Sus scrofa: one gene and its partners. The protein of the gene in region 1 interacts with the protein of each later gene in a pairwise test. Links are inferred from orthologs where the notes say so. Each region holds a gene or a part of one and is shown in the gene's direction. Other genes may lie near its edges.

The links.
Region 2: the proteins of melanoma-associated antigen B4-like (region 1) and RUNDC3A interact in binary tests that used the Homo sapiens proteins (3 or more experiments, as listed by UniProt). The two-hybrid records come from large-scale screens. The link is inferred for Sus scrofa from reciprocal best matches to the Homo sapiens genes MAGEB4 and RUNDC3A.
Region 3: the proteins of melanoma-associated antigen B4-like (region 1) and FERD3L interact in binary tests that used the Homo sapiens proteins (3 or more experiments, as listed by UniProt). The two-hybrid records come from large-scale screens. The link is inferred for Sus scrofa from reciprocal best matches to the Homo sapiens genes MAGEB4 and FERD3L.

The regions. Positions count from the first base shown.
Region 1 is NC_010461.5:26,021,458-26,031,520, forward strand, and holds the end of melanoma-associated antigen B4-like, read left to right. Parts: 5' UTR 1-37; intron 38-4,143; 5' UTR 4,144-4,370; intron 4,371-5,068; 5' UTR 5,069-5,171; coding exon 5,172-5,272; intron 5,273-7,133; coding exon 7,134-8,229; 3' UTR 8,230-8,746; downstream 8,747-10,063.
Region 2 is NC_010454.4:18,922,829-18,934,025, reverse strand, and holds the start of RUNDC3A (RUN domain-containing protein 3A), read left to right. Parts: upstream 1-4,300; 5' UTR 4,301-4,512; coding exon of another isoform or gene 4,513-4,619; intron 4,620-8,253; coding exon of another isoform or gene 8,254-8,369; 5' UTR 8,370-8,489; coding exon 8,490-8,900; intron 8,901-9,053; coding exon 9,054-9,139; intron 9,140-10,117; coding exon 10,118-10,207; intron 10,208-10,315; coding exon 10,316-10,396; intron 10,397-10,574; coding exon 10,575-10,740; intron 10,741-10,849; coding exon 10,850-11,007; intron 11,008-11,197. UniProt on the Homo sapiens protein: May act as an effector of RAP2A in neuronal cells.
Region 3 is NC_010451.4:88,317,151-88,328,096, reverse strand, and holds the start of FERD3L (fer3-like protein), read left to right. Parts: upstream 1-4,875; 5' UTR 4,876-5,719; coding exon 5,720-6,214; 3' UTR 6,215-10,946. UniProt on the Homo sapiens protein: Transcription factor that binds to the E-box and functions as inhibitor of transcription. DNA binding requires dimerization with an E protein. Inhibits transcription activation by ASCL1/MASH1 by sequestering E proteins.

The DNA.
Region 1 (10,063 bases):
GGGCAGAGAGGAATTCCATACTCCATCAGGAGGCAAGGTAAGAAAGCAGCATGAGCAGTGAGGGAACAACCCACCTTAGAAGAGAGAATATCCCCAGAGTCAAGGCTCTGCTCTAGACCTTGGTAAGACCCAGACAGAGGTGACCATATGAGATGTCTCCTCACTTCCTCATAGGGGTCTCAGAGAGATGAAGGCCTCAACTTGAAGGAAGATGGTCTCAGGTCAATAGAGTTAGTGTCCCAGGAACTTTTATGAGTCATGGTGAGGACCCTGAGTGGAGACTGAGGGGCACCCACTCTAGAACAGGGGCACCCAGTAGAGCCCGTTCTGCCTGCCCTACTGTGAGCCCTAGGAAGTCTCCAACTGGGTTGGCTTTCTGTGCTGTGAAATAACTTCCCAGTTCCTTTTTCAAGTAATTATGGAACAAACAGGACAGGTCATAGAACACTGCCCTTAGGGAAAGTCTGGTAGAGATGGCCTAAGTCATAGCAAACAAAATTGAGTTTACCACTTATATCTTCCTCCTCTTCCTTAGCCTGTGGTGCCCCATTGCTATGCCTCCTACCCACACTCCCGCCTACTGGTACCAACAAGAGGGACCATGCTGCAGTATCAGAAGCATTGGTGCTGCACACAAGAGCAGTGCTTTCAGGCTCACAGGGAGACCCAAAGACCCAAAGCCAGGAGTGTTCACAGGCACCTTATCAAGGATATCAGTTGAGAACTCCAGTGGTCACTCCAGAGGAACAAAGTCAGAGAACCCTACAGCTTTGCCAGACACTAAGAAGTTGCCCAAACACCCTCTAGACTAGAAAGCGGTTTTGCTAGTGAGTTTCCTGGTGCTCAGTTATCAAATGAAAGAGCCCATCAGACATTGTGAATAATGTCTAAAAAATAAGGAACCCTTCACTTCCTGAGATCCTTAGGTGAGCCTCCAAGCATGTGGGGCTGCTCTTTGGGGTTGATGTGAAGGAACTGGACCACTCCTATGCTCTTGTCAGAAAATTAGACCTAACCTTAGCTGAGAAGCTGAGTTATGTAAAGGGCATGCAGAAGATCAACCTCCTGGTGACATTTCTGAGCCTGATATTCATAAAGGGCAACTGGATCACTGAGGAGATAGTCTGAAAAAAGCAGAATATAATGGGGAGAGGCACTTCATCTTTGGGGATCCCATGAAGCTCATTACCAGGGATCGGTACAGTTAAAGTAACAGGAGTACCAGCAGGTGCACCACAGCAATGTTCCACACTGTAAGTTGTCATGGGGTCCAAGAGCCCAGGCTGAAACCAAAGGTCCTGGAGTTTTGGGCCAAGGTCCGAGATACCATCCCCACTGCCTTCCTGTGCCATTATTAAGAGGCTTTGAGAGATGAGAGAGAGCCAAAGCCAGCGCTGCAGCCAGAGTGTGTTTCAGGGCCATGGCCATCAGCTTCCTCTATGGGTAGTGAAGGCTACGGGTGCTCCTCCACTTTGTTTTTGAAGTGGGAAGTCAGTGTTCTGAATAGTAGAGGGTCAGAGTAGGAATAAAGGTGGACAGTGTATGGCTTTTTGTCTTCCTGTTCAATATGGGTAACTCATAGCTTTATTGGTATTTATCAAATGTCCCTTTAAATAGATTTATTTAGCTTTAGAATCTAAGCTATTGAATTCCATGAGTCCCACATTTCTTGGTGTTCATCAGGTTTAAGAACAAGAGTTTTCACATTAAGGAGTTCCCTTCATGGCTCAGTAGTTTACGAACCCAACTAGGATCTATGAGGATGTGGGTTCGATCCCTGGCCTCGCTCAGTGGGTTGAGGATCCGGTGTTGCCATGAGCTGTGGTGTAGGTCGCAGAAGCAGCTCGGATCTGGTGTTGCTGTGGCTGTGGCTGGCAGCTGTAGCTCCAATTCGACCCATAGCCTGGGAACTTCCATGTGCCTCAAGTGAGGCCCTAAAATAGCAGGAAAAAAAAAAAAAGAGTTTTGATATTTAGTAAAACACAAATCCCTGAATTTTTTCCTGCAAACTACAGGAAAGATAATATAGCATTAGAATACGTATTTTCCTGGAATGTGAAAGAATCTTGTATTAAAATAGTTGGGATCATGGAAAAAAGAAAAAATAAAAAGGTAAGAGGTGGTTATCTCTTGGTTTGCCTTACTCCTTTTAGTCTTCATTTTTGTAACATAGAGATATGTACCTGGATTTACTTGGCTTATTCAAGACTATAAGATAAATTAATTGTAATACTTTAGACTACTTGTTTACCAGCTCTTTAATTCCCCCAATATTAATTAAACATCTCCTCTTTGGAAGGTTCCATACTTGTACTGAGGACAAAAAGAAAAAAATAAATAAAAAAGATCAAGCCACTGCCCATAAACTCTAAGTTGTTAGGTGCAGCTTTCATATAAAAAGATATTGCTGTTATCTCTCAGATCTAAAGGACAGGCAAAAGAGAAGAGGTTCCAGAAGAGAGTTTCAGCAAGAAAGGCAGTGTTAGGCCTTAGAAAACTACACGTCCTTCATTGGGAGGTTAATTTTAAGTTAACTGCGTGGTGGACTGGAGGAGGTTGTGATCATCATGAGCAGGGCCCAGATTCTCAGATGGTGGGTCCTTCAGGTGAAAGACTAGACCTGGAATAGGAGACTGCTCTTACCAGTTATTTTGGGATTGTAAGCAGAGAAAAATCCCCTGTGGGAGGGATGAAACATGTCCTGTTCTCTTGTCCCAGCACAGGTGAATAATATGCCAATTACATGTTTTGTTCACATTGTCTCCAGGAATTTTCTGAGAAATAAGAGTGATTTTCCCTTGAAGCAAGATGATAAGAAGCCACTGGGCACCCTCTGTACTGGCCTGAGAGGGTCAGAGGCCTCTCCATCAAAGGGGCATTCAAATTAAGTTATCGTGTAGAATTTGACAAACTCTATATGGGTTATAGGTTTGGGGTAATGATTAAATTACTGAAAGCAAGGGTGATTGAGATGAAAAGGCTGCTCATAAGGAGGGAAGCTGTCGATCCTTGACACAAATTTAGGGGGTTTGTGGTGCATCTAACTGGGGAAGTGTACCTTATACCATACTGAACAATTTATCAGGCATTATAGAAATATTTAATTTTTCTTGCTAATCAGAATTTTGGTTGATTGGGGTTTTACTTATTCTAGGATGCTACATATTTTCTGACTTATGCTGGAGCTAAAAACAAAAACATAAACACGCCCAGCAGGGAGGGTGGTATCATCCGGGTCCAAATTAATCAGAGTAATAAATGCCATGCTGAAGTCTCAGTACAGCCCAGTCACTGTGCCAGACACTTAACACGTATTAACCACATTCCACTAGCTCTACAAGACAGAGGTTACCAAACCCACCTTGCATATGTAGAGCCTAATGCTCACAGAGTTCCATAATGTGGCCAAGCTCATATGGCTCATAAGGGACAGGTTTGAAGCTAGACTCCAGGTCTCTTTTAGTCAAGAGCCCACATTGTTCCAATTTTCCCAGCCTGAGGCCCACTTTGTGTTTCTTATATTCAATTTTCCTCTTCTTAAAAATGCATCTCAGGCAGTAAAAGAAAAAAAAAACTATGCTTACACTATTGGCTTGGAATACATTCCCAGAGCAATATGAATACCAAAATAAATGCCAGGCATGAATAAAAAAAGGAAAGCTAATACTCAGCGACAATATGATCATCTACCCATGCAGTGTCAGATAACCTAAAAAGATCAGGGGCTCACAAAATCATCCTGGACAGCCCCTTCCCCGTAAAATATAAATCTGTCAGAACAGAATTTACATGAGACTCTAAGTCTGGCTGGTGAAGAGAAGGAAAATAGCAGCATATTTTATCCCCTGACAGCACACCACCTGTCTGGAACTCCTGCCTTAGGCTTCAGTTTCCCCACCTCACATCACTCCTAAAACAGGGACCAAGGTGTGTAGGGGGGAAACTGCTCAGGTGTTTGTAGGGGTGAGACATTTCCCAGGAATCCTTTAGTTCGAGAGGCAGGAACCGACAAGAGGACCTCAGTGTTATCAGACTTGGGAGACCAACGCCCCAGAATGTAGGGGACCATACATAAACAGGTATTTAGACTTAGAAGGCCCCAGATAGAGCTGTCAGGCTGAGCACCCCGCACTTATTCTTCAGGCTTCGCAGGGACTTAAGACCTTGGCCTACAAACAGTAAAGGGAGGTCAGTAGAAGGAGTCGCAGTCTTTGATGGCGATGAAGACGAGGACCCTGAATAAGGAATGACAGAAGGACCAGCCCAAGTAGCAGGCCTCCATAAAGTCTGGCCAAGGCTATCAGCCCTTAGACGTTCAGAACAGTCCCGGCTGGATGTGGCTCATCCTTCCAGTTGGAGGTCTCCAGAAGGTGAGTACCTTGATTTGATGGGAGCAGCCTCAGGTCAACAGAGGGCAGAGTCTCTCAAGTGGTCAGTTATCTGAATAAGACCTGAGGGAACCAGTCACCTCTGAGAGGAGCTCCACAAATGCCCCCAATGCTGTCAACCCTGATATGCCCAGGACAGATATTTGAGATAAAGCCACCCCCTCAATCTCCCTGAAGAGTGTCATGGAGGTGACAACCCTGGACTAGTGGAACAGCCACAAATCTGCAAAGAAAAAACCTAGGGCTTAGCAAGAGCCAAGGAAAGGACCCTGAGTGTTATGAGGGGACCCCCCCCCAAAGCAGAGGGTGCCAAATGGAGTTCTCCACTGTTCTTAGCCCCAGAGGACCAGGAGAGCTCAGCTGAGTTGTCCCCTCCTTCCACCTGTGCAATCTTGGGGAGGGAAGGGCCCCATCTAGCAGGATCAGACCTCAGTTCTTCATGGCAGACAGAGGTAGGTGCAGTAGGGTGGAGGGTAGTCTTGGCCATAACCAGAGTTAAGGTGGGGAGCTCAGTGCTAACAAGAGGACTCTGTCCTAAAGAGGGAGACTCATAGTCTTGCCCTCCCATCAGGAGGAGGTGCTCAGAGCAGCGCCCCTGGCTTCCCCACTAAAAACTTGGGGCGGCGAGGGCTTTGTTTGGGAGCTGGAGGACTCGGTGTTTAAAGGGAGGAATTCCCCAGCCCTGATAGATGGCACCGGGATGATGGCTGACCTAAAGGACAGAGTTCTGCAGAGCCCCGCCCCCACCCCTGCCGTCAGATCTGGGAGACCCTGCAGGGCCGGATGTGCTCCCCCCACTTCCGCTCGGGAGGCAAGGCGATCCGCCTGTGGACGCTGCGTTTGTGCGGCCCAAGTTGTTTTTCCAGGACTGGTCAGGAGCCAAGGTAAGGACCTGAGTGTCCCCTGAAGGGATTGTCTCTCCTCGCACCCACCCCCACCCCACCTAGGTGACTCAACCACACCCTGCCTTTGCGATCTGCCTTAGGGAGGCCCCAGCACAGCTATTAGAATTTGGCCTGGAATGTTTCCATGCCGCCAAGAGAAGGCCTTGGTCTATGGGAGTTGCCCTGATCTTACAGATGGAGGAGATCTGGGTCCTAGATGAGGGCCCAGAGTGCTAATGTTAAGACCTCTTCCCCCAAAGGGAGCCACGCTGAGCCACACCTCTGTCCTCAGCTCTAGGAGGGCCGAGGCAAGGTAGACAGATGTAGAGTGACTTAAATTCCCCTCTAGTGACTAAGGGAATTGTGGGCTACACCTGGTAATCACAAACTCACCAGTGGAGGCCCCGGGCAGAGATGGCAGCTCTGGTGCCCCCTCATTACCTCTGGAGTTGGTCTCAGGGAGGTGAGAGCCTTGGTCTGTTGGATTAAGCCCACTTCAGCACAGGGGTCCAGTCCCCAACAGGATGCAGGGTTGTGACACTGAGTGAGGTTGGGAGGCCCCTCCCAGAAAAAATGGGGCCATATAAAGCACCAGCCCTGTTTTCAGGCTTGGGTGAATTGGACATTTTGACGTGGGTTGCACTCAGTCCTTCTCAGGACATCCCAGGGAGGTGAGAGGACAGGTCACAGGGAGCAACCTCATATCAGTGAGGGAGGATTTCAGGTTATGCTGGGTGTCTTGGTGAGAACCTTGAGGACTGTGGGAATGTCCCACAGTGCACCATTTGAACTACAAAAAATCTTCTCTCCTGTCCTTGGGAGACCTCAAGGATAGATGTCAGGCATAAGTGCCTGTCAGGTCCCATTATGCGCTAACAGAGAAGTGAGGGTCTTCATCTGATGAGAGTTGTCCCAGGTCAGCAGAGGGGGAAATCCGAGACCCCATCATGAGTCAGATTTGGACCTTGAGTTGGGATCTTGTGCGGGATCACAAGGACATCAGCCTTCCTGTAACAGCTTTCATTCTTGGGAGACCACGTTTGGGAAGATAAGATTATCTTCACTTCTCTGTTGGGAAACAGGGAGGCTAGGTCTTACTGTCACATAGGCATCAGTTTAAGAAAAAGTGGAGCTTCTCTACCAGGAGCCCAATTGTGGTACCTGAGTGAGGACTCAAGGGACCATGTGTCCCTGAATAGAGAGGACATGAAAGCATCCACCCTAACCCCTTGATTTCAGCCCAAGAAATCTCAGGGAAGGGCTGTAAGGTTGAGCATCCCCTTCACTTCTTTATATCAAGTCTAAGGGAGATGCAATCCATAGTGTGAAGGTGTAGCAACCAGTCAGCAAATGGAGAGTGATGCTGAGCCTTATAATGAGCAAAGGTGAGGACTTCAAAGGGTGATCCCAATGAACTCAGGACTGAAAGGATCTCTTGAGTGCTCAGCACTGGGTTTTCTCTGGCAGGAAAGCAGACTAAGGCACCCTTCATGTCCTTCTCCTGGATCTCAGGGAGCTTTGAAATATAACCTTCAGAGTAGTTGAGGGGAAGATTTCCAGGCTCTGCCCAGAATTGATCTGATAATCCTGAATATGAACTAAGAGGAACCTGAATACAGAGGGCACTACTGCCAGCCCCTGCTGTCACCTGAGTAAATCCAAGGCAGGGCTGATAGGAGCAGAGTAAATCTCAATCTAAGCCCTCTGTGGTTTCTCTATGGGGATGGGCTGACCAGAAAAACAGGAGCCTGTGAGTTCCTAGAGACATGCACTCAGGGACCTGCAGAGGTAGCCTTTGATAAAGCCAAGGTGGAATCTCCCTATTTCAAGGGATTCACATCAACTCATTCTCCTCTTCCAGGTTCTCAAATCACCTGCCCATTGGCCTGTACTCCTGTTTGCTGTCACTGACCACAGCCATCATGCCTCGTGGTCAGAAGAGTAAGCTCCGTGCTCGTGAGAAACGCCGCCGCAACCGAGGTGAGACCCAAGGTCTTAATGCTCAGGCCACTACAGCAGGGGAAGAAGAGACCACTTCCTCCTCCTCTCCTGCTCCTGGAGATGCTCCTTCAAGCTCCTCTGTTGCTGGCACTCCTCATGGGCCTCAGAAAGCCCCAGCCACGACCAGTGCTGCTGCAGGTGTGACACGCTCAAGATCTGAAGTAGGTGCCAAGGGCCAAGTTGAGGAAAGTAAAAATTCCACCCAGGCCTCAACTTCCAGTGAGAGCTCTCACAAAGATCCTCTAACCAGGAAGGTGGGGATGTTGGTGCAGTTCATGCTCTTTAAGTATAAAATGAAGGATCCCATTAAAAAGGCAGAAATGCTGAAGATTATCAACAAAAGGTATAGGGAGCATTTCCCTGAGATTTTCAGGAGAGCCTCTGAGCGCATGGAGCTGGTCTTTGGCCTAAAGTTGAAGGAAGTCAAACCCAACAGTCATTCCTATATCTTTGTCAGCAACCTAGATCTCCCCAACGATGAGAGTCCAGGTGGTAGCTGGGGCTTTCCTAAGAATGGGCTTCTGATGCCCCTCCTGGGTGTGATCTTCTTGAATGGCAACCGTGCCTCTGAGGAGGAGATCTGGGAATTCCTGAATATTTTGGGTGTCTATGATGGAAGGAAGCACTTCATCTTCGGGGAGCCCAGGAAGCTCATCACTGAAGATTTGGTGCAGGAAAAGTACCTGGAGTACCGCCAGGTGCCTGACAGTGATCCTCCTTGCTATGAGTTCTTATGGGGCCCCAAAGCCCGCGCTGAAACCAGCAAAATGAAAGTCCTGGAGTTTTTGGCCAAGGTCAATGATACAGTCCCCAGTGCCTTCCCACCCCATTATGAAGAGGCTTTGAGAGATGAGGAAGAGAGGGCCCAAGCCAGAGCTGCAGCCAGGGCTGGCACTGGTGCCATGGCCAGTGCACGCTCCAGAGCCACATCCAACCACTCTTCTCGCCCCTATTGAAGTCTGAGGCCAATTCTTCACTTTGTGGTTGGAAAAGGCTGTTAACCAGTGTTCCTTTTATGCATAAATAACTTGTTGACTTTTGGGTTTTTTTTTTTTTTTGCATTTTTCAGTTGGTGTTCCTTTCAACAGAAAGTTTATTTAGGTTTAGAATATAAGTATATGAATGACATGGATCATACACTTATTGCTGATTGCCAGATTTAGGAGTAAGAGTTTTGTTTTTTGAAATACAAATTGGAAATCTTTAAATCACTTTTGTGATCCAGAACAAGATAGCATTGCTTTGGGAAAGGAATATCCTTGGAAATGTAAAAGAACTCCGCAGTAAAATAGTTTGGATAAGAAGATAGATAGATAGATAGATAGATAGATAGATAGATAGATAGATAGATAGATAGATAGATAGAGTAAAAGTTGGTCAGGTCTTGGTGTTCTTTACTCCGTTTAGTCTTTGTTTAAAAATGTAAAAGATATATACCCAGATTTGCTTATGTTTTTCCAGAATGTTGGAAAATATAAATCACAGCAAATGACTTGTTCATGACTCTTATTTTACACAAACATTACCTGAGCATCTGCTCTTAAGAAGTCTTCATGCTTGTACTGGGAATGTTTAGTCAAAAACAAAAAAACAAAAACCCAACCCCTGCCCATGCAATTAGAGTTTCTTAGAGAAGCTGTCATTGTGGAAGAGGGTGAGATACTCTCTACTTTAAGAAGAAAAATGAAAGGCAAGGGTAAAGAGAGGGTGGAGAGAACATGTAACTTAATTTTCTAAGTAATTGCTAAGCAGAATTCAGGCTGGTGGGGAAGGTTTTGGGGCTCGAAAGCTGCATATCTCTGACATCTCTTAGATATATAAAAAAAAAAGTTCCACCTGGATGGATAGTAACATCTGAGGTCGAGATAATCATAGCAATAACTGCCGTTCCCTAATATCTCAATACAAGAAAGGCAGAGTGACAGATGCTTTGCATACATTACATATATTCCACCAGTCCTATAAGACAGGGCTTAGCAAACTCACTTAACAGTAGAAAGCCTGAGGCTCACAGAGTTCAAGTTTGGTGATGTGCCAAACTTCCTAGGATTAGCAGATGGCAGGGCTGGGACTAGACTCCTGGTCTGAATTATTGCCGAGCTCACTCTGTCCTACCCCTCCCAACTTGTGACACACCCTGTGTCTCTTATTTCAGTTTTTTTCTCAGTACTTCTAAATTTGTCTTAGGTGATCCAAGGAATGGCCTTGTGCTCAAACTACCAGATTGGGATACATAGCCAGAGCAAAAATATTTGAGAGTTACAAATAAATACATAAAAGGGACAATATTCGGTGACAGTATAGTCACCTACATTTGTGGTGTTAGATAACCACCGAAGACCAGGGGCTCTCAAAACCATCCTTACAGTCTCTTCCCTATAGAAAGTAAATCTACCAGAACACACATTACCTGGGAAACTTCATCTGGAAGATGAAGAGAAAATATAGATCCATGTACTGTTTCTTCCATGACAGGCCACCACCTGGACTGGTAATCCTCCTTTGTGCTACAACTTCCCCAGGTCACATTACTCCTGGGACAGGGATCCATTCTTTGCAAGGTTTGAAGAGAAAAACCTGCTCAAGAGTTTGCAGAGGTGAACTTTCCCAAGAAGCCTTTATTCCAAGGGACAGAAACCAAGATGAGGGCCCCAGGTAGGAGGGCTGAGGAGACCAACACCCTGGAATTTGGTGGGGGGGGAGTCACCGAGTCACTAGTCCTGTCTGCTCTCCAACAGAGAGGACCTCAGACAGAGCTGTTAGGCTAAGCATACCTCACGTACTCTTCAG
Region 2 (11,197 bases), on another chromosome or scaffold:
ATGTTGGGAACTACCTGCACGTGGGTGGGAAGTGACACAGAGAAGGGAAGATGGTCAGTGAGGGATGTGCTATCAGGCAAATTCAGACTGTGGACAACTGGAGCTTAATCCTGCTGGGGACTCAGGGAGCCAGTCGTAGCGTAAGCCTCGGGGCCATCCCAACAGACGGCTGAGAAAACTGGGGCATTCGCCAATCAGCTAGGGATCAAATCAGAGCTGCAGCTGCAGCCTGTGCCACAGCCACAGCCATGTGGGATCCGAGGCTCGTCTGAGACCTACACCACAGTTCACCCAATTCTGCTGGGTTCTTAACCCACTGAGTGAGGCCAGAGATCAAACCCGAATCTTCATGGATATCACTTGCTCTGTCACCGCTGAGCCACAACAGGAACTCCCTCACCTGACATGGTTTAAAAACAGCAGAAAACGGAGGTGCTGCCTAAGGGCAAGACGACAATGAAATAAGTGATGGAAGAGGAAATTGTACATATCAGCTTCTGGAGACTCCATTGTGGCTCAGCCGTAACGAACCTGACTTGTATCCATGAGAATGCAGGTTCGATCCCTGGCCTTGCTCTGTGGGTTAAGGATCCAGTTTTGACGTGAGCTGTGGTGTAGGTTGCAGACACAGCTCAGATCCCACATTGCTGTGGCTGTGGTGGAGACTGGCAGCTACAGCTCTGATTCGACCCATAGTCTAGGAACTTCCATATGCTGTGGGAGCAGCCCTAAAAATAAATAAATAAATAATATATCTGCTTCTGACCAGTTACAGAAATAAGAATTGTAGAAGCTATGGGTTTTTTTTTTTTTTTTTGCTTGCTTGTTTTATACTATATACTCTGTGTGTATGTATAAATAATACATATGTATATAAATTCATGTCCCCTTTCTTCCTCTGCCTTAGCTTTTTTTTCTTCTTTTTTTCTTTTTCTTTCGTCTTTTTAGGGTCACACCACGATGTTCCCATGCTAGCAGTCCAATTGGAGCTGCAGCTGAGGCCTATGCCGCAAACCACAGCCACAGCCACGAGGGATCTGACCCAAGTCTGCAACCTACACCACAGCTCATGGTAACACCGGATCCTTAACCCACTGAGTAAGGCCAGGGATCGAACTTGCCTCCTCATGGATCCTAGTCGGGTTAGTTACCCTGAGCCACAAGGGGAACTCCTATTTCCCAGACTCTTTTACTGGCTTTCTGTTGAGGTCTGTGAATAGGAGACTCTAGAGGGAGATGGAGGGCAGGAGGAAGGGAGAAGGCACTTTTTTTTTTTTTTTTTTGGCTTTGTTCAGGGTCGCTCTGTCATTGGAAGTTGGCTCTAGCCTTTAGCTTCTTTCTGCCTTCAGAGAACCAGCTTCATAGCTGGCTTTTCTTTGTTTGTAGATGACACCAGGGGCAGCCCGCTGGGGGCGTCTGGGCCCCCACTTCTCTTTTGTGTCCTCAGCCCTCTTCCTGATGTCTTTCTTTTCTCTTCTTTCTTTCTTTTTTTTGCCATTTCTTGGCCTATGCCACAGCCACAGCAACAGCAATGCAGGATCCAAGCCGCGTCTGCAACCTATACCACAGCTCACGGCAACGCCTGATCGTTAACCCACTGAGCAAGGCCAGGGATTGAACCTGAACCTCATGGTTCCTAGTTGGATTCGTTAACCACTGCACCATGACAGGAACTCCTCTTTTCTTTTCTAATGGCCGCACCCAGTGGCATTTGAAATTTCCTGGGCCAGGGGTCAAATCTGAACCTCTGCAGGGACCCAAGCGACTGCAGTCAGGTTCTTAACCCACTCTGCTACAGTGGGAACTCCCCTTACTGCTTTCTTTAGTTACAAGCTCCACGAGTTGTCTCGTTGCCCCAGTGTCCTCTTTCTCTCCTTGCTCTTCCAACTCCTGTGTAATCAAATCCCCTCTACCCAAAATAGGTAATGTGGTTTTCATTTTTCTGACTAGGCCCTATCTGGTGCACAAAGTAACCCTTATGGTTAGAATAGATAAATTGTGGTATAGTCACACAGTGGAATAGTGTACTGGGGAAAATGAACCGCTCTAACCTAATACTGAAAGCAAATCACCAATGAATTCGTACAGAATGACTGCATTTTTTTTTTTTTTGGTCTTTTTTTTTTAAGGGCCGCACCCGCAGCACACAGAAGTTCCCAGACTAGAGGTTGAATGGGAGCTGCGGCTGCCAGCCAATGCCAGATACGAGCCCCGTCTGTGACCTACACCGTAGCTCATGGCAACGAGGATCCTTAACCCACTGAGCAAAGCCAGGGGTTGAACCCGCATCCTCATGCATACTAGTCAGGTTCCTTGCCACTGAATTACAATAGGAACTCCAAGATGACTCCATTTCTACAAAGTTTAAACACTGGTAACATTAAACCATATTTTTTATCGATGGACACATAGATGATGAAGTTACAAAGAAAAGCAAGGAAATGATTATCACAAACGTCTGGGTAGTGGTTACCTCCTATGGGGATGGATGAAGATGAGATCTGCGAGGAGCATAGTGGAGGTTCTGGGGTGTTTGCAATGTCCTATTTCTTTTTTTTCTTTTTTTGTCTTTTTGCCTTTCCTAGGGCCACTCCCGTGGCACATGGAGGTTCCCAGGCTAGGGGTCGAATTGAAGCTGTAGCCACCGGCCTACACCACAGCCACAGCAACACAGGACCTGAGCCATGTCTGCAACCCACACCGCAGCTCATGGCAACGCCGGACCCTTAACCCACTGAGCAAGGGCAGGGACCGAACCCGCAACCTCATGGTTCCTAGTGGGATTCGTTAACCGCTGCACCGCGATGGGAACGCCCTCAATGTCCTATTTCTTGATCATTGAGATTACATCCCAGGCTTGTGCTTTGGAAACATTCTTTAAGCTGCACACATGTGTTTTAGGTGCTCTTTTGGGCATCTGATATATCCTGCAATGAAAAACAAAAGAACAAACATTGTGATTGCCCCTGGGGATGGGTCTGGAGGCAGGAGGATGTTAAGAGGGGCTTCTAGAGATGAGGCAAGAGGGAAAAGGCAGAGAGGAGGGACAGAGAAGACTAACTCTGAGGTCCCAGAAGCCAAGAATTGAGCAGGAGATCCAGCCCCCAGGGAGACAGACCAAGGTTGGGGACCTTGGCAGGTCTTTCACCTCCTTCTCTGCGCTAGAAAAGGGTCCTTGCCTGCTGGTCGTAGTCAGATGTAGCTGCACATCTGAATCAACGCAGAGATACTGACCATCCACCAGCCAGCAGAGTAAATCCAGTGCATGGGCAGAGTTGGTGAATGGATATGAGCTGAGCCTGGGAATGGATGTTTCTGAGGCCAGATGGAGAAACTGAGTGAAGCCCTTGTTATCAACATGGAAAGGCGTTCTATGGGAGGTGGACATTTGAGTGGGTGAAAGAGAACAGGCTGAATAGAGGAATGGAGCAGATGCGAGTGGAGATGTGAAAGAGCGAAAGGTGGCAGGGAAGCCGGCCGGTGCCTCCATTTCCCCATCTTTCCCCAAAACATGCAACCAGCTTTTCTGGCCTTGCAAAGAGAGTTGATGGCACCCTGCAGCAATTCTGGTAGCCAAGGGGTTTAACCCTCAAGCCACCTGGGGGTGTGAGGACGTAGGACCCTGAGAAGGAGCAGTTGCCTTCCTACTACTTTGGGCACCAGCTCTGCGGCTGGGAACCTCCACAGAGCCCAGGCCCTTAGCTGCCAATCTGCTCCATTCACTGTCCAGAGGAGTCCCAGGCGCTGGGCTCCTACCGCATAGGCTGGATTCCCATCCCCCACCCTAGAAGCCGGCTGCTGCAGACAAGTCCACCCCCTCCCCCCCGGGCGCAGACAGTCACGCAGGCTCTCACTGCTCCTTGGTCTCTAGGATTGGTTCTGGCCTCGCTGGGAATGCCGACACTGAACGGGTGGGGGCCGAGGCTGAGACGAGAGTACAGGAGGTGAGGAGAAATCAGGGGGCGAAATCTGAGCTAGACCCCACTGATCGCAGATAAGAAACAAGGGGGTAGAGGGGTCGGAGCTCAGAGATGCGAAGCGTGGGGTACCGGGCTCTGATCACGGGGGTGGAGGACAAGCCAGATGCCCCTTTTCTTCCTTCCAAACGCTGCGTCTTCCGGGGACCCCCTTCAGTCCTCCCTGAGGCCCAGTGCTCTCCTCTCCCTCCCCGCCCCCAAATCCTGCACCCTCTGCGGATTGGTCCCCGGCCTGCCGGGGGGCGGGGCCCGAGGGCCCTGACGTCACCTGCCGAGGGGGGGCGGGAGGCTAGGGGAGGGGGGGGTGACGCGCCCCGGCTCAGCACCTCGGAGAGCTCCCTCCCCGGCCTTGTTTTGCTCCGGAATCGCCGCCTGGGGAGGGAGCCAGGGGGCCGGGCAACAGGCGCAGCGGCAAGAGGATGGCCTTGGAGGGGTCGAGGGGCCCCGGCGGGCAGAGGGCCCAGCCGTGATCTGTTGGGGGGGGCCGCGGCGCCGGGTGGGCAGCTGACGGCGGCAGCAGTGGCCACACATCTGGATGGAAGCGAGCTTTGTCCAGACCACCATGGCTCTGGGGTTGTCCTCCAAGAAAGCATCTTCCCGGAATGTGGCCGTGGAGCGTAGGAACCTGATCACCGTGTGCAGGTGGGCGCCGCCGCCGGGCGGGGGTGGGGTGGTCCGGGAGAGGCGTGGGGGTGGGCTGCCGAAACCCGGCCTGAGAGTGCCCGCGGGAGGATGGCTGCACAGCAGCCGCGGAGGAAAGGGAGGCAGCGCAAGGTTAAGAGAAGCGCATCCACTGTCCTCAGGGCCAGGCCTGGGGAGGTCTGATGCCTACCCCTCTAGGCCTAGCCAGGCCTCTGCTCAGCCTGCAGCCCGGGGGGTTAGGGGTGTTTAATTAGCACTGCAGCTTCCTGTAGAACCAGGAAGTGACATTGTGTGCGAGGGGGAGGGGTGAGGATGGCTGGCTCCCTTGCTGGGGGCGGGAGCTGGGTGGGCTGAGGAGAACCGAGGGGACAGGGGGTATCCCTCCGAGCATACCCTCACTCTCCCCGTCAGCCTGGCCTCTTTGGGGTGGGGCTTTCCGTGGAGATGCTGATGCTTAAATCTTGGAGCAGGGATGTACCTTCCTCCATGTCTGGGCAGCTGCAGCCTAGGGCAGGGTTAACTGGGCATGTAGGCAATGTCCCCGAATCAGTGCAGTGAAGAGTGTGGGGCACTAGCTCTGCTTTGGGAAGGACTGAGGGCCTGACCACAGAAGCCTGGGTCTCTTGGGTTGGCCGGGAGGAGGTTGGGAGGGCAGAGCCACTGGTCCCTGAGGGTGGGGCTGTCGCAGTGTTCAGAAGCCTTGCCCGCTTTCTTGAGGCTCAGGAAATGAACCTTCCCACTTCCCAGGCCTGCAGTGGTTCACCCTCCCGGCCCTGCCCTGAAGCCAGGAATGGCCAGTAGCTCAGCCCCTGTCCCTCGGCCCTCACCTGCCCTCATCTCTCCCCTTGGGTCCCCATGCCAGCTGCCTTCTCCATCTGCAACCTCCCCTCTCCCCTATGCCACCTCCAAGGGCAGGGTGCTCCCAGTGCAGAGCTCAGCTGTCTTCCCTGGCCAGCCCCACCTGCCTGCACACAGGCCTTGGCCCTGCTCTTTCCCCTAGGACTCAGTGCCCACCTGACGCCCAGGCTCCCATCTTCTACAGCTCCTTCCAGGGTTCTGGGCACACACGCAGCCACACTGCGTCTGTCTCACACCATCATATCCCTAGGGCCTAGCACAGTGCTGTGCACATCGGACCCCTGCAAAAACACCCAGAATATTGTAGCAGGAATGAGTGCAGCAATGGCCCAGCCCAAATGCAAACCTCTGCCTCTATGCTCACCCTCAAACCCTGTCGGCTGGTGTAAATAAAGATGGCCCTAGGTTCAAGCTCTTACTTTAACAGTTATTAGCTGTGCAAACTTGGGGAAGTCTCCTAACCACTCTGGGCCTTGGGCGCTTCATCCCCATTGTAACATTGTAACAGCCCCACCAAGGAATGGTAATGACAGAAAGCCCAGAGGAGCCTAGCCCCGTAGCCTCATGCCGAGGACATCCTTCCTGGCCCTCTCCTCTCTCTTCAACACCTAGGTTCCTCTCCTTTCTCTTGCCTGCCAGGACACCTGGGCCTCTTGAGGGTGTGGGGAAGCAGGGAACTCCCCTTGGCCTAGGCTGGAGAAGCAGAGGCTCTGGTGGATTGGAAGTGGGCTCAGAGCTGGGGTGTGAGGGATGGAGTTTTGCCGGGGGGGATCGGAAGCATGACAAAGGCTCAGAAACCTCTCAGGCCCCTGCTGCCTCATCCTTGTCATGTGGTTTGCCTCCAGCTCCCAGAACAGTTCCCTTTAGCAGGCCAAGGACTCCCCTGGGCCCTGGCTGCCCTGTCTCCATGGCAACCTGCAGCAGCCACTGCACCTCCTAACAGGGAACACACCACAGGGCTCCCGGGGGCGATGACCAGTTCTGCAGCACCCCTGAGGGCAGATGGCAGATGGCTGCCATGCTGAAACCGGCTGCAGGCCCCCACTGAGGTCTGACCCAAAAGACCAGAAGAAATCACGGGGGAGGGGCTGCACAATGAAGCCCAGATAATGCCTTAAACTCAGGCTTCCTCTGGCCATCCCGTTAAAGGCCCGGCTCCTCACCACCCCTGGCCAATGACCTGTACACTCACCTTCCAGATATGTCTTGGGATCTGAACCAAATTTTGATAAGACAAATACTATTATTCTTGTCTGCATTTGGGAAAATGGGCCTTGGAGAGATTAAATGACTTGTCCAAGGCCACATCGGTATCACAAGGACACAGGATTTGTTCACCCAGGCTGCCTCTCCCTAGTGCAACCCAGCACTGACCTGGCTCTGATCTCAGGCCAGACTAACTCCAAGCCCAAAGGGAAGGGAGGGAGGTCCTTGGGCTTAGTCCAAGAGCCCCAGAGGCCAGTGCTCAAGGGCTGGAGCCTGCTGAGTAGAGGACAGAGGTTGGAAGAGGGAGGGGCTGCTCAGGGGCCTCTACTGAGCAGCCACCAGGAGGCCACAGATGTAGCAGAAAGAGCGAGGGCTTTGGAATCAGCCCTACCTGTTGACTCTCCACAGGCTGCATGACTTTGAACAGATCACTCAAGCTCTTGGACCCTCAGCTACCGGGCCTGTAACATGGGGATGTGGGTGATAATGAGGAGACCTTCCTCCCAGGTCTGCCGTGGGGATGGATGAGATACCCAGGCAGAGTGCTTGGCACATTGCAGGGCTTGATGAGCTTAGAAAAAAAAGGGACAGTTCCAAGCAGCCCCTGCATCCCTGGATACCTCGCCCCTGCTGTGCCACCCACAGTGGGACAATAACGGGGCGTTGGGAGCCTCGTCCTCACCCCTGCCCCACCCCGCTGCAGCAATGGCAGGTGGTGACTGCAGGCGTGGGGACTGCAGAGGAGGCCGGAGCTCCAAGCAGGACTGGAAAGAGGGATGGGGGCTGCTGGGCTCCAGTCCCTCAGCCCCATGGGCGTCCCTTGGCTTCCTTCCTCGCTGAGAAGCCAGGTGTTCGGGCCCCCAAGCCCCTTCCAGAGATCTGCTGCCAGTGCCCCCTCCCACCCACTGTGTGTGTCAGACCCACACCCTGCATGTCCCTCTGCCTAGCTCCGCATCGCTTGGTTCTGGGCAGCTGGTGTGTGGGTGGCCGAGCTAGGAAGGAAAAGGGGGAAGGGGGGGCATCCGTGTGCTAGAAGCCCACCTGGCCGCCCAGGCATGCACACGCTCCATGTGCTCAGCGCCAACTCACATGCCCTGGCACAGGTGACCCCCAGCCCCACCCTGGAAGGGACTGGAGGTCATTCCAGCAGTAGCAGAAGACAGCTCAGGGCAGAGGCACAAAGCAGCTCCCGACTCCCACCCTTCTCTGACACTAGGGGAGTCACTACGGGAGGGGAGGCGGGGCAGCAAGGAGGAAGGGGCTTCATCTTTCGTGTCACCCCCTCATACCTTGTTCCCCAAGCCCCCTTTCTCTGCCTGTCACCTCTCCTGTCACCCACTGTGTCAGTCTCCCACCTGCCACCCTATTCTCCCATGTCACAGCACCTCCACGGTCACTCTATTGTCGCCTGCCTCCCGCCGTCTCTTCCGCTACCTCCCCACCACATCCATCCTGGGACCTCTTCTCTGCCCTTGCTTCCCTCTCTTTGCCTGATGCCTTTCTTCTACCCGCAGCCACCCTGTCTTCCCACCTGACACCCCACTGCCCCTTCTCCTTCCCCCTCGCCCAGGTTCTCTGTGAAAACCCTGCTGGAGAAGTACACGGCAGAGCCCATCGACGACTCATCCGAGGAGTTTGTGAATTTTGCAGCCATCTTAGAGCAGATCCTCAGCCACCGTTTCAAAGGTGGGCCCAGGTTCCTGTCTCCCACTGCCCAGCCCTCCCAACTCCCAACCTTTAGCTTCCAGCCACCCTACTCTGTGGCTTTCTGAACCCCATCCTTGACCCTGGCTCCAATTCTGGACCATGCACAGAAGCTCGTCCACAGAGCTGGGAAGAGGGGAGGGGTCCTCTGGGCACAAAACGGTGGGTGCCCACAAGCCCCATCAGTGGGCATGCAATTATGGGCTGGTGTGCCCTGTGTGTACATGCATGTGTGTGCACGTATGTTTGGGGGAGGTGCTACGGGTGTGCATGGCTGCTTGTGCTTACGCATGTGTGTGCCCCAGTACATGGACCCTCTCCAAACTCCCTGGTCTTGCTGAGCCCCTTCCCTGCCCTGGCTCAGCCTGTGCCCCAGCAGGTCCGGTGAGCTGGTTCAGCTCAGATGGGCAGCGGGGCTTCTGGGACTACATCCGGCTGGCCTGCAGCAAAGTGCCCAACAACTGCGTGAGCAGCATCGAGAACATGGAGAACATCAGCACAGCCCGAGCCAAGGTGAGCCGTCGGTAGAGGGCGGAGCCAGGGCAGCTGCTTCCTGCTCTGGGTACAGGGGGCAGCCTGCTCCTTGGTCCTCGCCCCTGCCCACGGTGCCAAGTGGTGCACGGGTCCTTTTGGGGCAGCAAGTAAGATGGTAAGCCTTCTTTCCAGGGCCGGGCATGGATCCGAGTGGCACTGATGGAGAAGCGCATGTCGGAATACATCACCACAGCCCTGCGGGACACCCGGACCACCAGGTCAGATCACCCCCCCCGGCCCCCCGCCGCCACCTCTGGCAGTGTGGACCACAAGTCCCAGTGGGCACATGCATTGCCTAAACGCATGTGATCCTTAAGTTCCTGCTGCACCCTTTAGCACCTGGACTACAACTCCCAGCATGCACTGCTAGTTTCCCTCTCTCAGACTGTCTACCAGTCCGATGGGTCTCCCGTCCCAGAACACGACTTTAGCACCACCACCCTCTCTTCCAAGTCAAATTCATTATCTTCCATGACTGCCTAGCACGGGTCTCAGACGCAGCTCTACCCTTAGACACAGCCGGGGACAAGCCTCAGCCATGTATCGTTTCTCTTGCTGGCCGTGTTCCACGACCTCTAACACACAGCCCTATCTGCTTCCCAAACGATAACAGCAGTCTGTGCTTGCGACCCATGGACTACAGAGTCCCGGTGTCCAGAGCTTCAATCCTTGCGCTGAGGGTTTGCAGAGAGCGCGGGTCTGGGGGGGCAGGGTCACAGGGAAGATGTGTCCGTGGGGAAGGTGCGTTTGAAGCCGTCTGAGTACAGCACAGGCACGGACCTACCCACCGCCCCCTCCCCCAGGTGGCCACACTCAAACTGCTGTTTTTACTGCATTGTAGGTCTAGCCTGCCCTCGCATTTCAGAGTTCACATCAGCATGTTTTTGAGCACTGACTGTATGCAAGCACGTTTTAGAACTTGTTTCCTGATTTTAAGGATCTGGGTGACCCAGTGCTTGATGGGGAAGGGGTAGTTCAGAGGGTGGAGCTCTATTCTCGGGGGACGCTTGTTCTAGTAGGTGGGAGACCCAGGCACTGTCCCCAGCGGGTCCCAGTCTGAGGGGGAGACAAATCCTCAGCTGAGTGAACAGGAAAGAGATACCTCCTTCCTCTAGGAGAGTCTGTAATGAGCCAAGAGAAGCCTTGAGGCTTCGTGGGAGGTGCTCCACCATCGGCCCCTTCCCCCCTCCCTACAGACGTTTCTATGACTCGGGAGCCATCATGCTGCGGGAGGAAGCCACGGTCCTCACCGGGATGCTGATCGGCCTGAGCGCCATAGATTTCAGGTGGGGGCTGCGTGGCGGTGGCCATGGCGATGGGGATGTTTCTCCGAGAAAGTCCACACTCCCGTCCCCTCATACCCGCCTGCCATCCTGTGGCTCCTCTGCCCCCAGCTTCTGCCTAAAGGGCGAAGTGCTGGACGGGAAGACCCCCGTGGTCATCGACTACACGCCCTACCTGAAGTTCACCCAGAGGTGAGCAGCCTGATTGTTGCCGGTGGTTGGTGGGTGCGGTCAGAAGACCGCCCTAAGGGGCGGGGATGGCGGGGGGAGGCCGGCGGCAGGGAGAATCTTGGTGCCCCCGCCCAAGCGGGCTGGCGTGGGGCACGCCAGCGGGCAGGGCCGGCAAGTGCCCACTGCTCCCTTCCCCAAGCTACGACTACCTGACGGACGAGGAGGAGCGGCACAGCGCCGAGAGCAGCACGAGTGAGGACAACTCACCCGAGCACCCTTACCTGCCGCTCGTCACCGACGAGGACAGCTGGTACAGCAAGTGGCATAAGATGGAACAGAAGTTCCGCATTGTCTACGCGCAGAAGGTGCGCGGTGGGGGAGGGGAGGGGAGCCCTGAGGAGGGCGGGGCGGCTGGGGCGGCCGCGGGGACCCCCCCTTTCCTCCTGCCACCCTGGCTGAGCCGGCGCCCCGCAGGGCTACCTGGAGGAGCTGGTGCGTCTGCGCGAGTCGCAGCTGAAAGACCTGGAGGCGGAGAACCGGCGGCTGCAGCTGCAGCTGGAGGAGGCGGCGGCGCAGAACCAGCGCGAGAAGCGGGAGCTGGAAGGCGTGATCCTGGAGCTGCAGGAGCAGCTGTGAGCGCCGCCGCCGCCCTGACCCCGTTCCTCCGCCTCCCCCAACACATCACCCCAGGGAACCCCACCATCGCCCCCGCTGACTCTAACGTCACCTTTCCCGATACCAACAGCCTGTCACCTTCATCCACAGATCCCCACCCTCGCGCGACCTAACGTTATCAACACGAGGACCCCCCCCCCAAAACCA
Region 3 (10,946 bases), on another chromosome or scaffold:
CAAGTTATAGTTTATTCTTATGTACTGCTCAAAAGTTGGCTAAATTAATTTTGGAAGTCAAGCATAATACCTTGGAGAGTGATATTTTGGAAAGTGTTCTGTGACTGGATATGGGTACAAGATTGTGGGAGAGACTAAAATAGTCTCAAGCTGTATACTTAATATTTACCTGTTTTTACATCATCTCTAACTTTAGTGGTGCACTTTATTTCTCATTTTGGGAACTGGTTTTATGGGTATGTTTATTTTATTAGAATTCACTAAGTGGCACATATATGACTGGTGAATTTTTAAGTATATGTATTAAACTTCAAAAGAAATTTACCTAGAAATTCCCTGATGGCCAAGCCCAGTTAAGGACTCAGCATTATCACTGCTGTGGCTTAGGTTCAATCCCTAGTCCAGTAATTTCCACATGCCACAGGAAAAAAATAGTTTACCATTAAAATAGAAAAATAAAATAGATCAATATACATTCTTCTAACTCTAAAATTAGCCATAGCTATAAACCATGAAAATTTGTCTTTTATTTATGTGGTGTATCACACTGACTGATTTTGCATATGCTGAACTATCCTTGTGAACTTGGGGTGAATCCCACTCGGTCATAGTGTATGAACTTTTTTATGTGTTGCTGGATTTGGTTTGCTAATATTTTGTTGAGAATTTTTGCATCTATATTCATCAAAGATATTGGCCTATAATTTCATATTTTGGTTGTGTCCTTGTCTGGTTTTTTGTATTGGACTAGTGGGGGCTTCATAGAATGTCACTGGCAATATTCATTCCCTCCTTTTCAATTTTTTGGAAGAGTTTGAGAAGGATGGCTACAAGTTCTTTTTTGTATGTTTGGTAGAGTTCGCCTATGAGGCCATCTGGGCCTGGACTTTTGTTTGTAGAGGGTTTTTTAATTACAAATTCTATATCACTTCCAGTGATCAGTCTGTTCAAGTTATCTGTTTCTTCTTGATTAAATTTTAGTAGGCTATATATTTCTAGAAACTTGTCCATTTATTTTGGGTTGTTGAATTTATTGGCATGTAACTGTTCATAGTGTTTCCTTATGGTTTTTGTATTTCTGCAGTGTCAGTTGTTATGTCTCCTTCTTCATTTCTTTGTTTGTTTATTTGGGCTCTATTTTCTTCTTGGTGAGCCTGGCCAGAGGTTTGTCAATCTTACGTACCCCTTTGAAGAACCAGCCCTCAACTTTGTTGATTTTTTCTATTGTTTCTTTAATCTTTATTTTATTTATTTCCTCTGTGATCTTTATTATTCCCTTCCTTCTGATAATTTTAGGTTTTGTTTCTTCTTTTTCTAATTCTTAAGTAGTAGGCTATATTGTTTATTTAAGATTTTCCTTGTTTTTTGAGGAAGGCCTGTATCATTATTCCCTCAGAGAACTGCTTTCACCACATCTCATAGGCTTTATATAGTTGTGTTTTCATTGACATCTGTCTCAACATATTTTTTAATTTCCTCTTTGACTTCATTATTGACCCATTGTTCATTTGTTGGCCACACCTTTGGCACATAGAAGTTCCTGGCTCAGAAATTGAACCCTTGCCACAGCAGTTATCTGAGCTGCTTCAATGACAACACCAGATCCTTAACCCACTAGGCCACAAAGGAACTCTGACCCATTGGTTTTTTAGTAGCATGTTGTTTAGTCTCCATGTAGTCATTTTTTTCTCCTTTCTTTTTCTGTGGTTGAATTCTAGTTTGATGCCATTGTGGTCAGAAAAGATGCTTAAGATAATTTTTATATTCAAACATTTGTTGAGGCTTGTTTTGTGTTTTAACGTATAGTCAGTCCTTGAAAATGTTCCATGTGCACTTGAAAAGAATGTGTATTCTGTTTTTTATTTTTTTGGATATAATGTCCTAAAAAATATCAATTAATTCTAGCTGTTCCATCATTTAGGATGTGTTCTATCATTTGGATGTAATGTCCTGAAAATATCTATTGTCTAGCTATTCAGAGATTATTTAGGATCTCTGTTGCCTTATTGATATTCTTTCTAGAAGATTTGTCCATTGATGTGAGTGTGGTGTTAAAATCTCCTACTGTTACTGTCTGTATTCCTGTCAATTTCTCCCTTTAGGTCCATTCATATTTGTTTTATGTATTTGGGTGCTCCTATATTCACTGCATATATGTTGATGAGTGTAAAAATCTTCTTGTATTGATCCTTTTATTTTTATATAGTATCCTTCTTTATCTGTCTTTATGGCCTTTGTTTTGAAGTCTATTTTGTCTGGTATGAGTATTGTAATGCCTCCTTTCTTGTCGTTTTTGTTTGCATAAACCGTGAATAACTTGAAATGGAGAAAGAAGAGAATGTAGGCTCCTTCTCTGTGTCAGCTAAGGGAGTATCTCTCTGCAATCATGACAAACATCTACCTCTGTTCTGTTTTATCATTTTCCCTAAAATTGCTTAATATTTCTGTAAGAGTAACAAAAGGGACATGAAGCAAGGAGGTAAAAGGAAGAGTCTTAATAAATTTGGGAGAGTTAGATGTTTGCTTTAATCTTTGGATACTTTATCTACCTTTCCTTAACACTCTTAATCCCATGCTCCAGCCCCCTTAAGAATAATTGCTCAAGTTATTCTTGGTCACTTGGTTTTTTGTTTGTTTGTTTGTTTGTTTTTGTTTTTTGGTTTTTTTTTTTTTGCTTTTATTCTGAATACAAGAAAATAGTACAGATCTTCCTCAACTTAGAGTGGGATTGAATCCAGATTAACATATCATAAATTGAAAATATAAAAAGTCAAAATGTGTTCAATACACCTAACCATCATAGCTTAGCCTAGCCTACCTTAAACATTCTCAGAACATTTACATTAGCCTATGTTTGAGCTCAGTTATCTAACACAGAGCTTATTTTACAATAAAGTGTTAAATATCTGCTCTGAAAGTGAAAAACAGAATAGTTGTATGGGTACGGAAAGGTTTTACCTATATGGGTATCACATTTCTGCCTGGGAGCTGTGTTTTAGTAGATACTGCCCAGCAACACAAGAGCCATATCACACTGCATGTTGCTAGCCAGGGAAAAGATCAAAATTCAGAATTTGAAGTATAGTTCATACTGAATGTTTATTGCTTTTGAACCATAGTAATCAAAAAATAATTTAAGTCGAACCATGGTAAATCAAGGACCATCTGTGTACAAAAAATGTTTAATGTTTAATCGGGATGTCCAATAGTGATAAAATAGGTAATAAACTAAGCAAAACTGATTGTCATTTCAGAATCATTTCCTAAAACATCTTGAGCAAAATTTGTTGAGGGCTTAACAAAACTCTTTTAAAAAGCCTCTAAGTAGGTCAGTGAATAATTATAAACTATCTATGGGCCTAGAACCCAAAGGAATCAAGTTTGAACTTAACTTCTTTTAATCTTCAGTTGGATTTTCTAAGGATGTTTCTCTCTTAACTTTCAAATATAGAAATGAAAATAATGGTTCCTTCCAGTGAGACGGATTGTTTTCGACCATATAGTAAATTTAAATTTCTATCATGTTTCCCTTCATTAAATGTCCTAATGTATATTTGGTGTAGAACTGGATTCATACTTGGTGAGGTATTTATTCCAGTATATATGCACTTAAATGGGAAAAAATAAGTCATGAGAAACATTCAGCAACTAAAAACTATAAAATTTGTCCAAATACTTAATAACAGATTAAGTTAAACAAGAGTTAGAAAACATGTTGCTGCTTGTCAAAACAGAAATTAATCCTCTCATTTACTTATTCCTAAGCCACTGTCGAAATTTCAATTCTTTTTTATTTTTCAGTCTTCTCTTTGAAAAGAAATTAAGTAAAAAGTAAATAGGTAATCATAATCAAAGATCTTATTCTCATTAACATCTTGCAGGACCACTAATTTTGATTCTTTTCTGCATGAGTTACCACAATGCAAATTGTGGAGAGTGAAGAGTAAACACAAGAGAAAAAAAAAAAAATTAAAGGACAAAAGAGCAAGGGAGAGCCCAGACACAAATGGGTTAAAAAAAGAAGAAGAAAGGAAAAAGAAGACTCCAAGATGATGTTGCTTTTCTAGTATCTGAAAGTGATTGCTGGGATGCTAAGAAAAAAAAAAGAAAGAAAGAAAAAGGAAGTGTGCTTACCTGTTAGAAATAGGCGGTTTCTCTGGGAGCTGTCCAATGTACTAACTGAACCATCATAGTCACAACTTACCTCTTTAATAGAAATTGATGTCCTAGGCGATTTTCCCTTGAACCAAGATGTTTCTATACTCATCTTTTTAGGCTGTTTCTTCTAATACATATTTAAAATGATTTTTCTAATATATTGTTTTGCCACATGGTGTCTTCTTGAAAATCCTTACACTCAATAATTAAATAAATATAAGTACTGGCAAACAAAGAAGGAAAAATGAACCCTTCTTTGTTAAAAAAAAATATATATATATATGAAGTTATGTGAAATCAGCAAAAGAAATTTTATTTTTGCTATCCTAAATTTAAAATATTTTTTCATATCAAAGGTGATCTAAAGATAGCCAAAATCTCTCTTAACTAGAATTAATAAAGAATATTTTCCTCTCAAATCTTATAAGGTGGTACAATGAGGAAACAAACCAGATGCAAGTGTCAGGAGTTTTCTTTGTTCACAAATATCAATCAGCAATTTAAAATTTGAAAGGCTTCTCAACAGAGGAATGAGCTGGTGGACCAATTGGCTTCTGAAAGGGTGAATCACAGTTTTGAAAAGGAGATTGAAGTTGTTTTGTTTAGGGGAGGGTTTGCTTTGCCTCCCACACTGGGATTATACAGTGAATCATGCTGGGAGAAAATGTTCTGAGCTTCTCCTTTTCATTTTACTGCCATCATAACTTTGCCCTCTAAATAAATTCCTTTACATAGGTAGGAGTTAAAGGTAAGGAAAGGAAAGCCAAGTATCTTAATTGTTAGATTGATTACAACAAAACAGATTTTAGAAGTTGGGGTTTGTAATGCAGCGGGAGAGCTGTTTATGATGCAGTGGAAAGAGAAAGCCGGTTCCAACAGCGACTCTGGGGAATGCACTCTCCTCTCCCCTACAGTGCTTACTTAAGCTAATGGAAGATCTTTCCTTTCAGTAGCTGCTGCACCGGGATACCAGACAAACAGCTCCCCTTGACCCCTGGCAGACAGGGCCCCTCTTCAGGACATCATTAAAAGCACATGCACTTGTTTCACACCCAGCGGCAGCCTAGGGTGGCAAGATTCAGAGCTCACACTCTGAAGCCAAGGAGAAGCCAGAGCGGTGGAAAACATCCTTGCTTTGAAAACCCAAAGATAAATTAAAGAACTACATGAGATAAGGAGCCTGAAGAATATTAGTTGGCTGGGGGGATGTGGAGAGACACAAAAAGCACAGCAGGTAAGAGCTGGGGTTGTTGCCAAGAAGGAACTGTCTCAGGTGATGCAGTGAAAGGGATCTCAGAATTGGAGGCCTGTCCCTTTGAGTCTTCTGTGCGTGCTCAAGCTTGTCTTCTTCCATCAGTTTCCAGAGGAGAGGAGGGATGTTGTCAGAGCCTACCCTATCTGTGCAACTAATCCTGTTATCAGCTTGGTTATAAATATTAATGTCCCTTGGCCCTTCTCTGATGCTGCTGCTTCAGATTTTAGGCTCTTAGGAAGCCCTTCATCAGTCTTGCCTTTACCTTGGAGAAACCGATGAGACGCAGGGCCAAGCCAAGCCGACCAGATGGCAGCCTATCCCCAGAGCTGCGTGGACGCCACCGTGCTGGACTTCGTCGCAGACCTGTCCCTAGCCTCTCCGGGGCACCCTCTCCTCTGCGACTTCGCACCGGGGGTCCCCTATGCGGACCACCAAGACCTTGTGCTCCAAGAGGGAAGAGCCAGAAGTTTACCGCGTTTTGAGGAGGAGGATCCAGAAGAGGAGGGGGAAGTAGAAGAGGGCGAAGACGAGGAGGTAGAGGAGGCCGGGAGAGGCGCCTCCCTGCTGGGTCGCCCTAAGAGGAAAAGGGTGATCACCTACGCCCAGCGCCAAGCCGCCAACATCCGCGAGAGGAAGCGAATGTTCAACCTCAACGAGGCCTTCGACCAGCTGCGGAGGAAGGTACCCACGTTTGCTTACGAGAAAAGGCTGTCCCGAATCGAGACCCTTCGCCTGGCCATCGTCTACATTTCCTTCATGACTGAGCTCTTAGAGAGCTTTGAGAAAAAGGAAACCGGCTGAGCTAGTGTGGAATGGAAGTGTCTGCCCCCTCTTCACTGGGCGCGCGGGCATGGGGTGTTTCGCGACCGGCAGTGGGTGTGGCTGAAAGGCCAGGGAGAAAGCTCCAAGACCTAACAAAAGTCTGGCCTTCTGGAGCTTGTTTTGCGATGATAAAATCCCCACAGCCCTTGAGAAGCTTGGAGGCCGTGGAGTTAATGCAGACGCGATTGCTCTGAATGGAGTCTGGGGCGGGAGCGGGCGGGGCATATTAAGGTAGTTAAGGAGTTGGGGCGGTCCTCAGCCCGCGCCCAGGAGCAGTCTATATCAAGTGGGTGGGAAGTTAATCCTCTCTGCAGTTCAGCGGTCTCTGTGAGTCTGATCTCTCCGAGTGTGTGTGTGTGTGTGTGTGTGTGTGTAAAAGAAACTTTTTTTTTTGCCTCAGAGTCGGTGCTGAGCCAAGTCAGGCAGGCACGCCGCTCCGGACTATGCTTTTTAGATAAGTCCTGGAGCAGAAACTCGCGAGAAATTGCGGGTTATGGGGTTCTCTGAGAGGCCAAGGGGTGCCAAGTCTATCGTCCGATCCTCTTAGGGTTGTCAGGAGGCAGAAAGAAGGGACTGAAAAAGGAAAAGGAGTCAAAGCGATGAAATATCTCTAACACAGAACACCATTCTGCCTTCTCTTCCTCTCCACCTTCTCCCTTACCCTCCCCCTCAGGCTCAAAACTTCAACCCAGTCCCTGTCCCTCCAGTAGCCCGACGCCCGAACCTGAGGTGACGGGGAGGAGGAGGGGACAGCCCTTTCTCACGCACTGGGAGCGCACCTAGACTCGCGGGGTATCTTAGATGCTCTGAACCTTTGCTGCCTGAGGATGCTTCCCCTGTTTCCTACCCAGGGAAAAGGACCGGGTCGTCCCAGGAGCTGCGCCACCTGAGCGCGCACGAAAAATTTTAGGGGTGCGTAGAGAAAGATAGCTTTTATTCTAGTTGCATCTAGGGACAGGGAAGAAAAAAGTCAGAAGAGGAGATGCATTCCACCGCTTTGCCAAAATGTGTATGATGGAGATGAGGTTTGAAATAGAACCATGCTGAGGATCTGCCTCCAGTTTGGCGGATCTGCCATTCCACAATTCTTCCTTTGGGGGAACCTGCTAACACCTAGACTGGGGTCCTTCAGGTAGGAGTTGGTAAGTGAGGAGGGAAACTGAAATGAATAGTGCCCACCTAACTTTAAAGTCAGTAATCCTAAAAATAAACCCTGTTGTCTCAACACTTTATTTTGCTCCTCACTTCGCACATCCTTGCACTCGGCGATTCGCCTATCATACTTTTAGAAATATGATTCATTTTATTAAGAAGTAATATATACTAATCCTTAAAAGTTTGGAAAATAAAATTTTAAAAAGAAATAAAATTTAAATCACTTCATATTACTACACATCAGTTTTATCTATTTCCTTCTAGTCTTTTTTTATACAGATATAAATTCAATGTGTTTAACACATTTGGGATAGTTTTGGAATTTATCCACTCAGCACTATAGAATGAGAACTTTCCCCTTGATGTTAAATATCATGCGAACATAATTTTGATTACTGTGTTTTATTGTCACATCCATATATTACATCTAACTCCAGTCCTTTACAGATAGCTAAGATATTTTCTTTAAAAAAAAAAAAGTAATAATGCGAGGAACATTCTTATAAATGTCTTCTCTGCCTATAATTTCCTGATATTAGGTAGCCGGAAGTGAAATTTCTGCGTCAAATGAACATTTAAGTTTGTGGCTACAAATGGCCGGATTGCCTTCCAAGTAGATCTGCCAGTTCACACTCCCTCTTACTATTATTGCAGGATCTACTTGTCTCTAAGATTCCTTCATGTAAAACTTTTCCTAGTTTTTCTATCTATAGGAACTGATAGTTCTGAAATGATTACTCTCTCAAAGATGATGTCTTACTTGACTGTATCTTTTCACCAGGATTGTTTCACCTCTGTCATAAGAACAAGATATACAAGTAAGAGAAAAAAAATGTAACCAACTAAACCAAACAACAACAAAACCAGGGAGTGTTTTGGGGTTTTTTTTGTTTTGTTTTGTTTTTAATTCTCTAGCATCTTTACTAAAAGTGAAAAATGGACAATAACCTCTATATCCATTTTATAAAATTACTTATTTTCTCTTCTTTTGCTAGACAACTTTTTGGCTGCTCAGACCACTTACCTGTATTTTAAGAAACAAATTTAAAATTACTCTTTTCAGTATGTCAAAGAAAAATAATTATTTCTCAACTTGTCATCGAACAACATTTTGCTCCCCAATATCTCATGTAGTGCTAGTGGATACATTGGTCCCTTATTTTATCCAGTTATTTATTTATTCAATTAAAATGTGTTGACATTTTACATATAATGTGAAAGGGTGCAGAATTGAAAGAGCTTGCAGAAGAAGCTCCCTTCCTTCTCCTACTCTAAGTCCTCATGAGAAGTAAACATTTTTTAAAGACTCTTCAAGTGATTTTTTCTTAAAAGATTTAACTTTAGGAATCCTTAATAGTTTCTTGAAAGAATCCATTTGGAAAATAAGAAATTTTAAAAAAATGCGTAGAAAAAGGGTCTCAAAATCAATGAGTCCTGAAGAGTAAACACAACTGTCCATCATCCTTAATCTTCATATTCTGAACCATTGTTATATTCATAGTAAGCTTACAATATCGTACAGTGAATATTTCTTCAGTATAGTAAATAATACCCCCAAAACATCTAAATAAAAAGATTTCCCATTATTATTAGAATTATGTCCACAATTCTTAAAATTATGAGAGCTCATAAATGCTTTGTTCTTTGTGATTTTTAGTATGTTTAGAAGCTACTCCAAAATGAAAAGTCTCTTAAGGCTTTTTCTTAATTATTGTACTAATAGAATAATTTGAAGCCAAATAAGTTTCAGAAATATAGAGAAGTGGATTGACTTATTCCTTATACCAAATCATCCGTAGAGATAACGCAAAATCATCTGCATTTCGAACATGAATCCATACTCCTCCATATCTTGCATTCAACTTCTCTAAGCAGCATGATAGTTTTAGTTTTCCCCATGTTAGATCCATAAATCAGTGCACTTTTTAATGTAAGTATTTTTAGTATATAACACACCCTATGTTAGAATTGTCTTATTCTTTATCTTCTAAACCAGCATTGATAAAAATATCAGTAGACACTGGTTTTCCAGTACCTCCCAGTAATTAAAAAAAAAATCCTAGCGGTATCAATTACTCCTGGAAAATTGTAATAATTGGTTTTTGAAATCTTAAAGTTATTTGGACATTTGGAATGTAAATACCATTTTAGATGTTGCTTGGAGGCGATTTATTTATATACTCTTTACTGACTGAAAACTGCCTTTTGGTCTCAAACTAAGTTCCCCATAACTATCAGGTTACTATTAGTATTCAGACATATAAACCAAAAAAAAAAAAAAAGATCTAAGTGAAATCATATTTGAAAGACATAATCAGGCTTTCCAAGGAAAGTAAAAATAATCAAAAGCCTTTGCCATCAACAGGCAGCCATTCAGACTGATCATCTTTTACAGCTGTCCAATGTGAAAGCAGATTTTGGCACTGGAAACTGAACCAAATATTGTGCTAGTATGCATATTTCCTGCATGAACTTACAATTAAGACCATAGAATTGGTGTTTATTATTGCATTTGTCAGCATTTCCATTATAAAAACACTATTGTGGAAGGTTTATAACAGCTACAGAAATTCTGAGATGAAACTTGATAAGCACAGTTTAGCATAACTTTTTTTTGAATTACAAATCCTCAAAGAAAATTTCAAAGTTAATGAAAACACTTAGGCCCACTTCACATGTGAGGTTCCCAAATGTACAAGAACAGTGCTGTAACCCCTGAGCTACAGAGGATGTACCTACAACTTTTAAACACTATATTTTGTATTAAATGTAACATCTATTTAATACAAAATATAAATTAGATTATTTTTGTTTAGATTTATTTTTGTCAAAAATAGCTGGCAGATTAATATTGAACTTTAAGTACTAAATCCTTTTATTGGGTGATATTACTTGATTAAATTATAGTTTAAATGTGTTAGAAAAGTGTTGACATTTTGGTATATACCTATGTCTTGGCACAAGTTCACTCAAAGGTTTCTGAACTTTGCCAACATCTTGGATGAAGTTAGACCCAGTTTCTGGTCAGTGCCCTCTCTTCCTGTGAATGCTGAACTAAAAAAGGCTACAAAACAAGAGTCAGCAGTTCTGACCATTTTGTTTTGACTTTGGGGTTTCTTTGAATCCAAAGCTCAAAACCAAACCTGGCGAAGGAGGAGAGGGAAAGGAAAGAAGCAATGCAAACTGACAGGAATAAAATGCCAGAAAGATGGAAAATTTTCTTTATTTCTCTATAAACCAAAGCCTATAAATTTCCACAACTTTTTCTATGATAGCAAATTTTATTTATGTGCCTAAAACACATTTGATAAAGAAGTATAAGGGAATGCAAAGAATGTATTTTAAAATACTCTTTATGGCTAATATTGGGTAGAATTCCACTCAATTTTGCAGAAGACAAAAGAACTTTTAATATTCAGTGAAGTCAAGAGTTTGGCAAATATGCTGGAAATTATCCTAATAAAATGTAACAATTATGATAATAAAATGGTTACTGCATTATTGTTTTCAAAGCACCCTTCCCATACTTTCTCTCATTTGACAAGTGAAAGGATTT